Caenorhabditis elegans: one gene and its partner. The protein of the gene in region 1 purifies or fractionates together with the protein of each later gene. This does not show direct contact. Each region holds a gene or a part of one and is shown on either strand. Other genes may lie near its edges. The genes, in order: R05H10.3 and clp-8.

Region 1 (5,014 bases):
ATTTAGAATTTTTTAAATAAAAAATTCTAAATTTTATATATTTTTCGACATTTTTGCGTTTTTTTAAATTTTAAAACATAATTTGCCAATTCTTCCTCAAAAAAAATTTTCTTGACGGAAAATATGTGTTGCAAATTTACAATTAATGTTTCAAATTATAAAACAACGAAAAAATGAAGAAAACCCATTAAAACAGCCGGAAAACTCAAAAATCCCGAAAATGACGTCACTCATTTGCGCGGGAATTCAAAAATAAATAAATAATTCAGCCGTTTTGTAATTTTTTTTTTTAAATTAAAAAAAAAAAATCATTAAAAAAATTAGAAAGCTTTCATAAATTTTTTCACTGTCTTTTACTTTTTGACCAAAAAACACTTTTATCAGAAGATTTTCGAGTGAAAAAAAAATAAAAAATAAACTTTTACAAAAATTTAAAAAATTATAAGATTTTTCTAAATTTTAACTTTAATTTTTTTTCGATTTATGAGCAAAAAAAAATCATATTCATCTTTTTTTTGCAAAATTAATTTTTTTATATTTCAACAGCAAATTTTTTAGAAATTTCCTAAAATTTCCTTTTTTTTCAAGGTACAAAAAAGACGGACTCGAAGTTCTCGCATTCCCGTGCAATCAATTCGGTGGTCAGGAACCATCATGCGAGATCGATATCGCCGCGTTCGTCGCCGACAAATTCAAATTCGAGCCAACCCTGTTCCAAAAAATCGACGTAAACGGAGACAACACTGCTCCACTGTACAAGTTCTTGAAACAGGAGAAGGGCGGATTTTTGGTCGACGCGATTAAGTGGAACTTCACGAAATTCCTCGTTGGCAGAGATGGTCACGTTATCAAGAGATTCTCACCGACTACTGAGCCGAAGGATATGAAGAAGGATATCGAGGCCGCACTTCAAGCCAAACTTTAAATATTTTTTTTGAGCTGAAAAAATGGAGAAAAATCGAGTGAAAACTTGGGAAAATTCGATAAATCTAGGAATTTCTATGAATTTTTGGATTTTTTTCGAAAAAATTTGAACAATTTTGCTAAAAATCTATGAAATTTCAGATTTTTTCCAATTTTTCCAAAAAAATTCAAATAATTATTTATTTTTTGAATTTTCTCAGAGTTTTTGTTCCGACTTTTCTGAATTCAAAATTTTTCACAATTTCAACAAAAAAATTCAAATTTCCCAGATTTTTTTGAACTTTTTTCGAGAATTTCACTAAAAATTTATGAATTTTACAGATTTTTTTGCAGAAAAATTAAATTTTCCGGTTTTCTCAGCTTTTTTTTTTCGAAAATTTCACTAAAAATCTGCGAATTTTACAGATTTTTATTTGCAGAAAAATTAAATTTTCCGGTTTTCTAAGCTTTTTTTTCGAGAATTTCACTAAAAATCGAATTTTCCAGATTTTCAATTTTTTTCCCTCATTTTCACTCAATTTTCTCCTAATTTTTTTCCACAAAAACCCCGTTCCTAATTTAATTTCTAAGTACTCTAGCTTTTCCCACTTCTCGCTTTGTAAATATCTATTTTTGCACAAAAATAAAGTAAAAAATTTTTGCAAAAACGTTTTTTTTTCAAATTTTAACATCTTTTTCTTGTCATCATTGTGCTGTCAATTTTCGCAGAGTTTCCTACTTTTTGTTGCTGATTTTTAATTTTTTTTTCTCTAGTTTTTGAGGTTTTTTTCTGGAATTCCACGTGGATTTTACTGGAGATTACACTGATTTTTAAAAATCAATTTTTTTTGGAATTTAGTGAGATAAAATCGAAAAAAAATTAGCTTTTCCTCGATAAAATTCGATTTTTTAAAAGATTTTTCAATAATTATTTCAGACAAAATGGACCTTTTACTAGAACGGCTCGTCTCGATTTGCTCCGTGTACGATGAGCTCCCGCATTCATTTGACGACACACTAATCGATAAACTCGTCGATAGCATTCAGTTTGAAGGTTATTATACATTCCTGGAATATTGGCGCAATTCAGTTTAAAGGCGCATGGGACTTTTTTCTCAAATTTAAAGAAAAACAATTTTCCGGCAAATCGGCAAATTGTTGGACTTGAAAATTTCCGGCAAATCGGCGAATTGCATTAATTTAAAATTTCCGGCAAATTAGCCAATTGCCGGACTTTAGAATTTCCGGCAAATCGGCGAATTGCTGAAATTGAAAATTTCGGCAAATCGGCAAATTGCCGGAGTTGGAAATTTCCGGCAAATCGGCAAATTGCAGTAATTGAAAATTTCCGGCAAATTGGTCAATTGCCGGACTTTAGAATTTTCGGCAAATCGGCGAATTGCAGTAATTGAAAATTTCCGGCAAATTGACCAATTGCCAGAATTGAAAATTTCCGGCAAATCGGCAAATTGTTGGACTTGAAAATTTCCGGCAAATCGGCAAATTGTTGGACATGAAAATTTCCGGCAAATTGTGATTTTTCACATTTTTTTGATATATGAAAATATTTAAAGAAAACGGGAAAATTACAACAAAAAAAACTCAGTGTTTTGCATTTTGATATCCGGCAAACGACAAACCGGCAATTTGCCAAAAATGAAAATTTCCGGCAAAGTGGCAATTTTTTGCAGAGACAAGCCTCACAGTGGTTCGGAATTTCGTTCGGAGCATCGATTTCGAGAGTAAATGCATTCCGATTCAGATGGTCATTCGGTTGCTCGACGAGGCGATGACCAAGCATGTAAGGGAATCGGGATGGAATTTATAAAAGTTCGGGGAAAATCACAATATTTTGGCGCGAAAAAAATGCAAAAAAATTGCACAAAAATCACAATTTTCGAGCTCTAAAACTAAAAAAAATTTTTATTTTTCAAAAAAAAATTCCAGAAATTACACGACGACGACCTTGTGCTCGAATTTATTCAAGGAAGTGAAGCTCTTCTTCCCCAATCCCGTCCACTGAAGCTTCTGGATGATCTTTTCAAGCTCTATGTCAATCCAGATGTCTTTGCGATTCGAAAGCCTGAAGCATGGCTGTGTAAGAATCGATTTTTGAGGAAAATTGATGGAAAAATGAAGAATTTGGCTACAGAAACCTTGAAAGTTTCAATGAAATTAAGGAAATTAGTGCGAATTTTTAAAATTTCTAAAAATTCAAGATTTAAAATTTTCCGCCAATTTTTGCATGAATTCTGGAAAAAATTAATTATATCAACATTATTGATTTTTTTTTGCACAAAAAAAATATATCCGAAAATATTAATAATTCTTAATAATTCGGAAAAATTAAAATTCTTAATTTGAAATTAACTTTTTTTGCCAAATACCTGAAACAGATATTTGTGAGCGTCGACAAAATCGACAATTTGGCAGTTTGCCGATTTGCCGGAAATTTTAAATTCCGGCAATTTGCTGATTTGCCGGAAATTTTCAATTCGGGCAATTCGCCAATTTTCCGGAACTTTTTTTCAATTCCGGCAATTTACCGACTTGCCGGAAATTTTCATTTTCGGGAAATTGCCGATTTGCCGGAAATTTCAAATTCCGGCAATTTGCTGATTTACCGGAAATTTTCAATTCGGGCAATTCGCCAATTTTCCGATTTGCTAGAAATGCTCAATTCCGCTAATTTGCCGATTTGCGGGAAACGTTCAATTCCGGTAAATTGCCGATTTGCCGGAAATTTTTAATTCCGGCACTTTGCCGATTTGCCGGAAATTTTTAATTCCGGCATATTGCTGATTTGCCGGAAATTTTCAACTCCGGCAATTTCCCGATTTGTTGGAAATGTTTAATTTGGGCAATTCCGGCAGGTTGCCAATTTGCCGGAAATTTTTAATTCCGGCAAACTGCATATTTGCCGGAAATTTTCAATTCCGGCAACTTCCCGATTTGCCGGAAATTTCCAACTCCGGCAATTTGCCGATTTGTCGGAAATTTTGTAATTTCAGCAATTTGCCGATTCGCCGGAAATTTTCAATTTCAGCAATTTGCCGATTTGCCGTAAATTTCCAATTCCGGCAATTTGCCGATTTTCCGGAAATTTTCAATTTCAGCAATTTGCCGATTTGCCGGAAATTTTCAATTTCAGCAATTTGCCGATTTGCCGGAAATTTTCAATTTCAGCAATTTGCCGATTTGCCGTAAATTTCCAATTCCGGCAATTTGCCGATTTGCCGGAAATTTCCAATTCCGGCAATTTGCCGATTTGCCGGAAACTTTCGTTTTCGGCGAATTGCCCATTTGCCGGAAATTTTCTATTCATGCATTTTGCCGGTTTGCCGGAAATTTTCAATTCCAGCAACTTGCTGATTTGCCGGAAATTCCCACTTTCGGCACTTTGCCGATTTGCTGATTTGCCGGAAATTTCAATTCCCGCATATTGCCGATTCGCCGGAAATTTTTAATTCCCGCATATTGCCGATTTGCCGGAAATTACAATTCCGGCAATTTCTTGATCGGCCGAAAATTTTCATTCTCAAAAAATTCAAAAAAAAACCAAAAACAAAAAAAATGTTTTTTTTTAATTTCAGCCGTAATCCGCTGGGCTATCAACGAGATTGACCAGGAACACACATCCGTATTCCTCCGCCGTCGATATTCTGACTTCATCTGTCAAGTACCTTCCACAGAAGCTCGCCGGCTCCTTATCATCTCTGGAGCAGTGGAAATATTCGCGAGAAGAAGCCGCGCGAGCCCATCTTCGTGTATTGCCGATGCGGCGACACAGATCCTCAGCAGATATGCTATGGATTTGGCAGCCGAGGAATGTATCACTTATGTGGAGAGTTTGAGAAATTCGCCGAGGCAAGGCGAGAGGTCGCTGAAGCTTCTTGTCAAGTTGAAGGAGTAAGGGATTTTCAGGAATTTAGAAAACAAAAATTTTAAATGTTGCTAAAAAGTTACCTAAATTTTATTTAAAATTAATGTGAACAAATTTTTTTTTAGTAAAAAATTTTATACCTCAATTTTTTCATTAGTTTTGAGGTTTTTTTTCATTTGGAAATTCGATTTTAAACGTAATTATGTTTTTTTCTTAATTCACTCAAAA
Region 2 (6,112 bases), on another chromosome or scaffold:
AAAAAGTCAGTGAAACAATATATAATCTTCTTTAATATTCAGAAGGATAAAATGAGCATTAAAAAGTACACTGATAATAATTCCACATTTATCGCTGTAGTTGCATGGAACTTCGCATATGATCAGTTTCTACATGTTCAGTAAGTCCAATTTTTATTTTAGATATACGTTGTGCTTTTGTCCTTTCCAGTTTGCGTTACTCAATCACCGATGAACAATTGGTCTCTAGAAGTTTAGAAGACAATCAAACAGTTGATGTTATTCCTCCAAGGGGTGTTCAGGTAACTTTTTTTCAGTATCACATTCATCATGTAGATGAAATTGTAGATTTTGGTAGTAATCGAACAATATGCAATGCCGGAGATTGTGGATTTCCCAATTGACATTGATTATAAACTTTCAAAAGATGTTGATTCAACAATCAATGGAATCAAAAGAGGATGTCATCTTCCAGAAATATCTTCATCTCGATTCTTAGAGCAAGTTCACCGTGAGGAGCGAATTTCCGTGGCTGACTGTTTTCTGGATCTTCCAAGCAATTACTGTCAAAATTGAACTTTCTGTCGAATTTGTATCCCACTTCCGAATGAAAATTGATTATTGATATGTGAAATCGGTTTAGTAGAAATTTTTCAGAATTACAGTTCAACTACTCAAATTTGTGATTTTTGGTTGGGACCTTGGAAGAGCTTACTGTAATAGAGTTCAACTCTTCACCACGGGAAAATTTTCTTGCGAATTTTTTCGTCCCAAAAAAAAAGGAAAAAAAGGGTCAAGAACAAACAAACAAACATTTTTGTCACAGTCACCGATGACCTAGGATTGTCGCGAAGTCGGTGAATACAAAGATTCACTCGCTCACGACTTATTAATAAATCTAAGGATTTATTAACAAATGATTAAATGTAAAGATTGATTCATCGTTATTACGTAACACATGCTCTTCAATACTCAACTTCATCCGTGCAATCAATGACAGCTACTCTGTAAAAGGACGACGGCAAAACCCCAATTCAAACTACCGCCAAAAGGAGGATTCAAGGCGCATGAGGTCTCGCCACGACACATACAACAACGACTGCGACCGTACTCTTGTCATCATGGCGCAGCGCACATTGGCCTATATCGTCAGTCGTCGGCAGTCTGCATCGGGCTTCACCACCACAGCACGTGCCCGACGGTGGCACGTTTAAATGAATGTTTGAGTGTTAGTGATTCAAGGCTTTTCCCTTGAATCACTCGTAATAAATGAATTAATAGAATAAGAGTCTTTTGTTAATCCTTTCAGTACCTCATGGGCCGGAAACCACTCCGAAACAAGGATTTCCTCATCCTCCCTGGCTCAATCGGTAACTGCTTGAGCCGGGGGGTGGTTGAATATACATAACAAGCAAAATTCATGCACGGCCATGCGGCAAACGCCTAAAAATATTAATTTTACTGTGATAACTGAAATGTTTGAATTCAGTAATAATAATATAGAAAACGTTAGGTCTGAAATCATGCTTATTTTTTAACAGGCTTAACAAAGACAGGCACTAAAATGAGGATTTTTCTAACTTTTTGACAAATTAAGTACAAGAATTTTCTTACACTTTTATATGAATTTTGCTGCAAAAAGTGGTATTATCCTAATGAAATTACTAGTATTTGCCGTACAATTTTGATTCATTCGTCAGAATTTAGTTTATTAAAAACGTGGAATACATTTTTTTTTTCTAAAAAACATTTTGACAAAACAAAAGAATGTTCCGTAAAAAACCGTATTTTGTCATTTCTAAACTTTTAACGGAATGAATTCGCCCCAGGAAGAGGAGCTTTTGGAGCTAATAGAGAAATACAATGAGGATAAATATTGTACGAACATGAACTGGACTATATTTCTCGGTGATCACGAGAATGAAAAAGAAGCGAATGAAAAGTTTAAGAGCATTTTGGAAGATTGCCAGTAAGAATTTTTCAAATTTCATTTAGAAACACAAGCCAGTTTTCAGAAGATCCAAATCTGCATTCATCGATAAAGAGTTTCCACATGAGCCCAAGTCTTATATGACCTTTGACGAGCAATCGAAGGTATATGGGAAGTACGAGGTATGTTCAAAAGTTCTGTAAGACCCCTTGATTTTGGAAGAATCATCGAAAAAAAAGAATTGAAGAGATCAACATTATCAAAAATTAAGTCAATCGCTCATATTAACCTGAAATATGTTATGGGGTTATCCAAGTAGTGTCGTGAAATTAAAAAGTGTAATTTTAAACACATTTTCCCTCATTCAAGTACAGTTCAAAACAATAGTATTTCAAAACAGTTTGTGACGCCATTTCGTGACATTTCCCGACTTTTCTCGACATTATCCAACAACCAGAAAGTGGACAACTCAATGAAAGACACACCAATGAAAGATGGTGTCCACAAAATGTGAAAATTCACAAAACTCGCTGCAGAAGATCAATTCTGATAAAACAACAGTGAAAAAATGTCGAGAAACGTCCAGAAATGTCGCGAAATTACGTCACAAACTGTATTTAAGTGCACGTTTTTGAAGTTTCTTGAATAAGGCAAAAAGTTTATTGAAATACACTTTTCAATATAACGAAACTATTTGATTAACCCCATTATAAACCAACAAATCTTGTTCTTTTAAAATTTCGTTCTATTATAATTATTTACTTTTGTTTGATTTATTTTTCTTTCAATGGAGTCTTACGGGTCTATTTTATTTTATGTATTATATTATTCAAATAACCCTTCTGCTCATTTATATTATGCATATTATAATATTTGGTTATATATTATCCAGTTACTAAAATAAACAACAATTAACTGAATTACCAAAAAACATGTGCATAGCTAAAAGTTTTCAGAGTTGGAAAACTTGGTTGTTCCCGAAAATCTGGCGTCGAATAACACCACCTTCCACCGACGTGTCATCCAGTTTGTCAGTTTATAATCCATTGACTTTCACCGCGTACGAGGTGTTTCAAAGAAAAGTTGGAGATTGTGGTCTTGTTGCTGCTTTGTCTGCAATTTCCACAAAGCCTGAAGTTATCATGAACATTTTTGATTCACTGCAACTATCGAAATACGGTGTGTATAAAGTAAAACTGTTTGTGGATGGTCAATGGAAAACTATCATCATTGACGATTATTTTCCGTATACAACAGATGGAATCAGAATTGGCGCTACTTCTGGGTATCAGGTATTAACAATTTTTGGATCAATATAATTTGGATAATCGGTAAATCGCTGGTCCTGGAACGCTTACGGGATGTAACTGGATTAATGATTCGTGATCGTTCCGTTTCCCGCCAGCGCCCTTATCACGTCCTCTCCACGTATACAAAAGTTTGCAAGAATTTTTTAAATTCGGTATGCGCACGGAGAGGACACCATCTCGGCAAACAACGGCACCTTTCTTGCGCATATCTTGCCTTCTCTTAATAAAGTTCATTCTTAATCAGGTCTCTTTAGAAATCAAAACAAAAAAGAAAATATTGATAGAACAATAGCGCACTTCTCCGCACTTCTTCGCCGTTCTCCACTGTTTGCTAAATGTTTTTTGAAAGGTGGAGAAGTCTACTAGAAAGCTCCCGGAAACTGCCGAGATTAGAGTGCGGACGTGGCGCAGATGGAGCGCTAACAATATTGTATATGATGAGACTAGAGCGCGCTTCAGGATCAGCAATTTTCCGAGTACCTACGATATCGTCAAAATATAGATTCATTGAACACGCGTAAACTTAACTTTCAGATATGGGCAGCGCTTATTGAAAAAGCTCTTGTTAAGGAATGTGGTAATTATAAAGGAATTCATGGATTTCAAAGTTTGTCTGCATTTTCTGCTCTTACTGGATCACCTGTGTTGCTCATTCCAGTTGCCAAAATGTTCAATAATCTTAGAAAATACTGGAAGACACTGATGGAGTTCAGGTTTGAATTTTCAGACTTCTAAATTATTGTACCATGTATTCAGAAATAATCAATATCCGATGGCATGTGGCACCTTGAACCGAGAAGTCAACGGAATACTTCCACAACATGCCTATACTATTATGGATATTGTTGAAAGAGATGGGCACAAACTTCTTCTTCTCAGAAATCCAAGTGGAGGCAGCGTTTGGACTCGAAATTGGTCAAAGGAATGGGAATGGTGGCCCGAGAATATGAAAGATCTCTTGGAAGGAATGATTCGAGGATCTTTCTGGATTTCGTGGGATGATTTTTTAAATGTTTTTTGTTCCATTTATGTTTGTCGTCATCGTTCAAATTGGTTTGCTTATTATGCCAAACTGGTTCTTAAATATCCAGAAGATGACGCATTTCCGGCTATCGATATCAAAGTCACTGAAAAGTGCATGGTCTGTATTTCGGCGGTTGACGACTGGATTTCTCGTGAGGTACTCTTAAAAACTGTCGAATTTCAAATGCCAAAATATGTTCAGAGGTATAGCTGGATTGCAGTACACAAGATCAACGGCATATTTTCTGATAATAAAAAAGTAGTTGCATGTGAGATCATCAACGATTCTACTCAGGATATCGATTTAGAACCTGGTATATACACTATCACAGTCATTTATCTCAATGACTGGAGCTTGGACAAACGAGACATCTCAATTCACTCTTCCCGACCAATTTCGGTCAATGAAGGGTTTTCGAGAACAAGGAAAGATAGCGTACATATAAAATATATAGTGGATAAGTTTGGGCAAGAAATTGTGAAAGAGCAGGTATTGTAAACAATGAAGTCAATATATAAGCCTTTTTAATATTCAGAAGGATAAAATGAGCATTAAGAAGTACACTGATAATAATTTCACATTCATCGCAGTAGTTGCATGGAACTTCACATATGATCAGTTTCTACATGCTCAGTGAGTCTAATGTTTTTTTAGTTATGTTCTACTATTTCACCTATTTCAGTTTGCGTTACTCAATCACTGATGAACAATTTGTCTCTAGAAGTTTAGAAGACAAGCAAACAGTTGATGTAATTCCTCCAAGAAGGCACCAGGCTAGTTTTTAGTATATTAGGCTAGTGATAAGCCTTATAAATAAACACATACGACATATCAAAAACACTCTTTCAGGTTTTGGTTGTGATAAATCTTGAAGCAATGCCTGAAATAGTGGATTTCCCAATTGACATTGATTATAAACTTTCAAAAGATGTTGATGCAACAATCAATGGAATCAAAAGAGGATGCCACCTTCCAGAAATATCTTCATCTCGTTTCTTAGAATATGTTCATCGTGAGGAGATAATTTCATTGGATGATTTCATACCGGAAATTGAAGTACTGTCGAAATTGAACTGATAAACTTACGCATTGTATGTCGAATTTGTATCCCACTGTCAAATGAAGTCCAATTGAAGTCCAATTACACTAAGGTCAATAGTTTTATTTGAAGGTTTTTCAGGATTTCGATGTCATGGTGGATCTACCAATTAATTAAGTTTGATGTTTTTAAATTTTTGTTAAAGCTTCTTGAAGCACACTGTATTGTATCTTGTTGAATTGTATATATAGCATTATTCATACCAAGCTGTGCTGATAATATTTCCGGTAATCGTAAAGAACTGTTAGTTTTACTATGATAATCCAACTTTTTAAATTAAAATTATTATAAAAACGTAGGAAAATGGTTGTTTACTATTAAAATCATACCTTATTATTAAAAAATGTTCAGAAAAAAACCAAAAAAAGTACCCGAGATGAAAAATAAACATTTTTAACGGCAACTACTCTTGGTCCCATCCAACTAAACAATTTTAGATAATTGTCAAGCTTCTATGATTAAACCCTTAAACAGAAACAAAATTTATGTATTCAAAAAAGTGAAACAAAAAAGAACATTGAAGAAGTTACAAAATTCAGCATAGAAAAAAAGGACGATGAAATCATGAATTGGTGTATGCAATGAAAAATTTGAAAAACTTCTCAAAAGTGATGTAATACATTTATTTGAAAGAAAAATTGGCAAATGGAACATTAAGAAACGAACATGAAAATTGTAAGAAAACATATATTTATTCACAACGCCGGTTATGCTGCCAATATTCTAACGGAACTTGAACGCTGATACGATCGTTAGAAGGTTTTTTGGGT

What was found.
Region 2: the proteins of R05H10.3 (region 1) and clp-8 fractionate together in Caenorhabditis elegans (co-fractionation; one large-scale study listed by BioGRID). This does not show direct contact.

Annotation. Positions count from the first base shown.
Region 1 is NC_003280.10:14,868,104-14,873,117, forward strand, and holds the start of R05H10.3 (Dot/Icm T4SS effector), read left to right. Parts: upstream 1-1,840; 5' UTR 1,841-1,845; coding exon 1,846-1,957; intron 1,958-2,594; coding exon 2,595-2,704; intron 2,705-2,850; coding exon 2,851-3,001; intron 3,002-4,496; coding exon 4,497-4,812; intron 4,813-5,014. Other genes in the region: gpx-2 (Glutathione peroxidase), read left to right, coding at 589-925.
Region 2 is NC_003279.8:13,252,348-13,258,459, forward strand, and holds clp-8 (Calpain catalytic domain-containing protein), read left to right. Parts: upstream 1-1,793; coding exon 1,794-1,948; intron 1,949-1,994; coding exon 1,995-2,091; intron 2,092-2,865; coding exon 2,866-3,201; intron 3,202-3,753; coding exon 3,754-3,932; intron 3,933-3,975; coding exon 3,976-4,732; intron 4,733-4,778; coding exon 4,779-4,876; intron 4,877-4,925; coding exon 4,926-5,016; intron 5,017-5,092; coding exon 5,093-5,320; 3' UTR 5,321-5,382; downstream 5,383-6,112.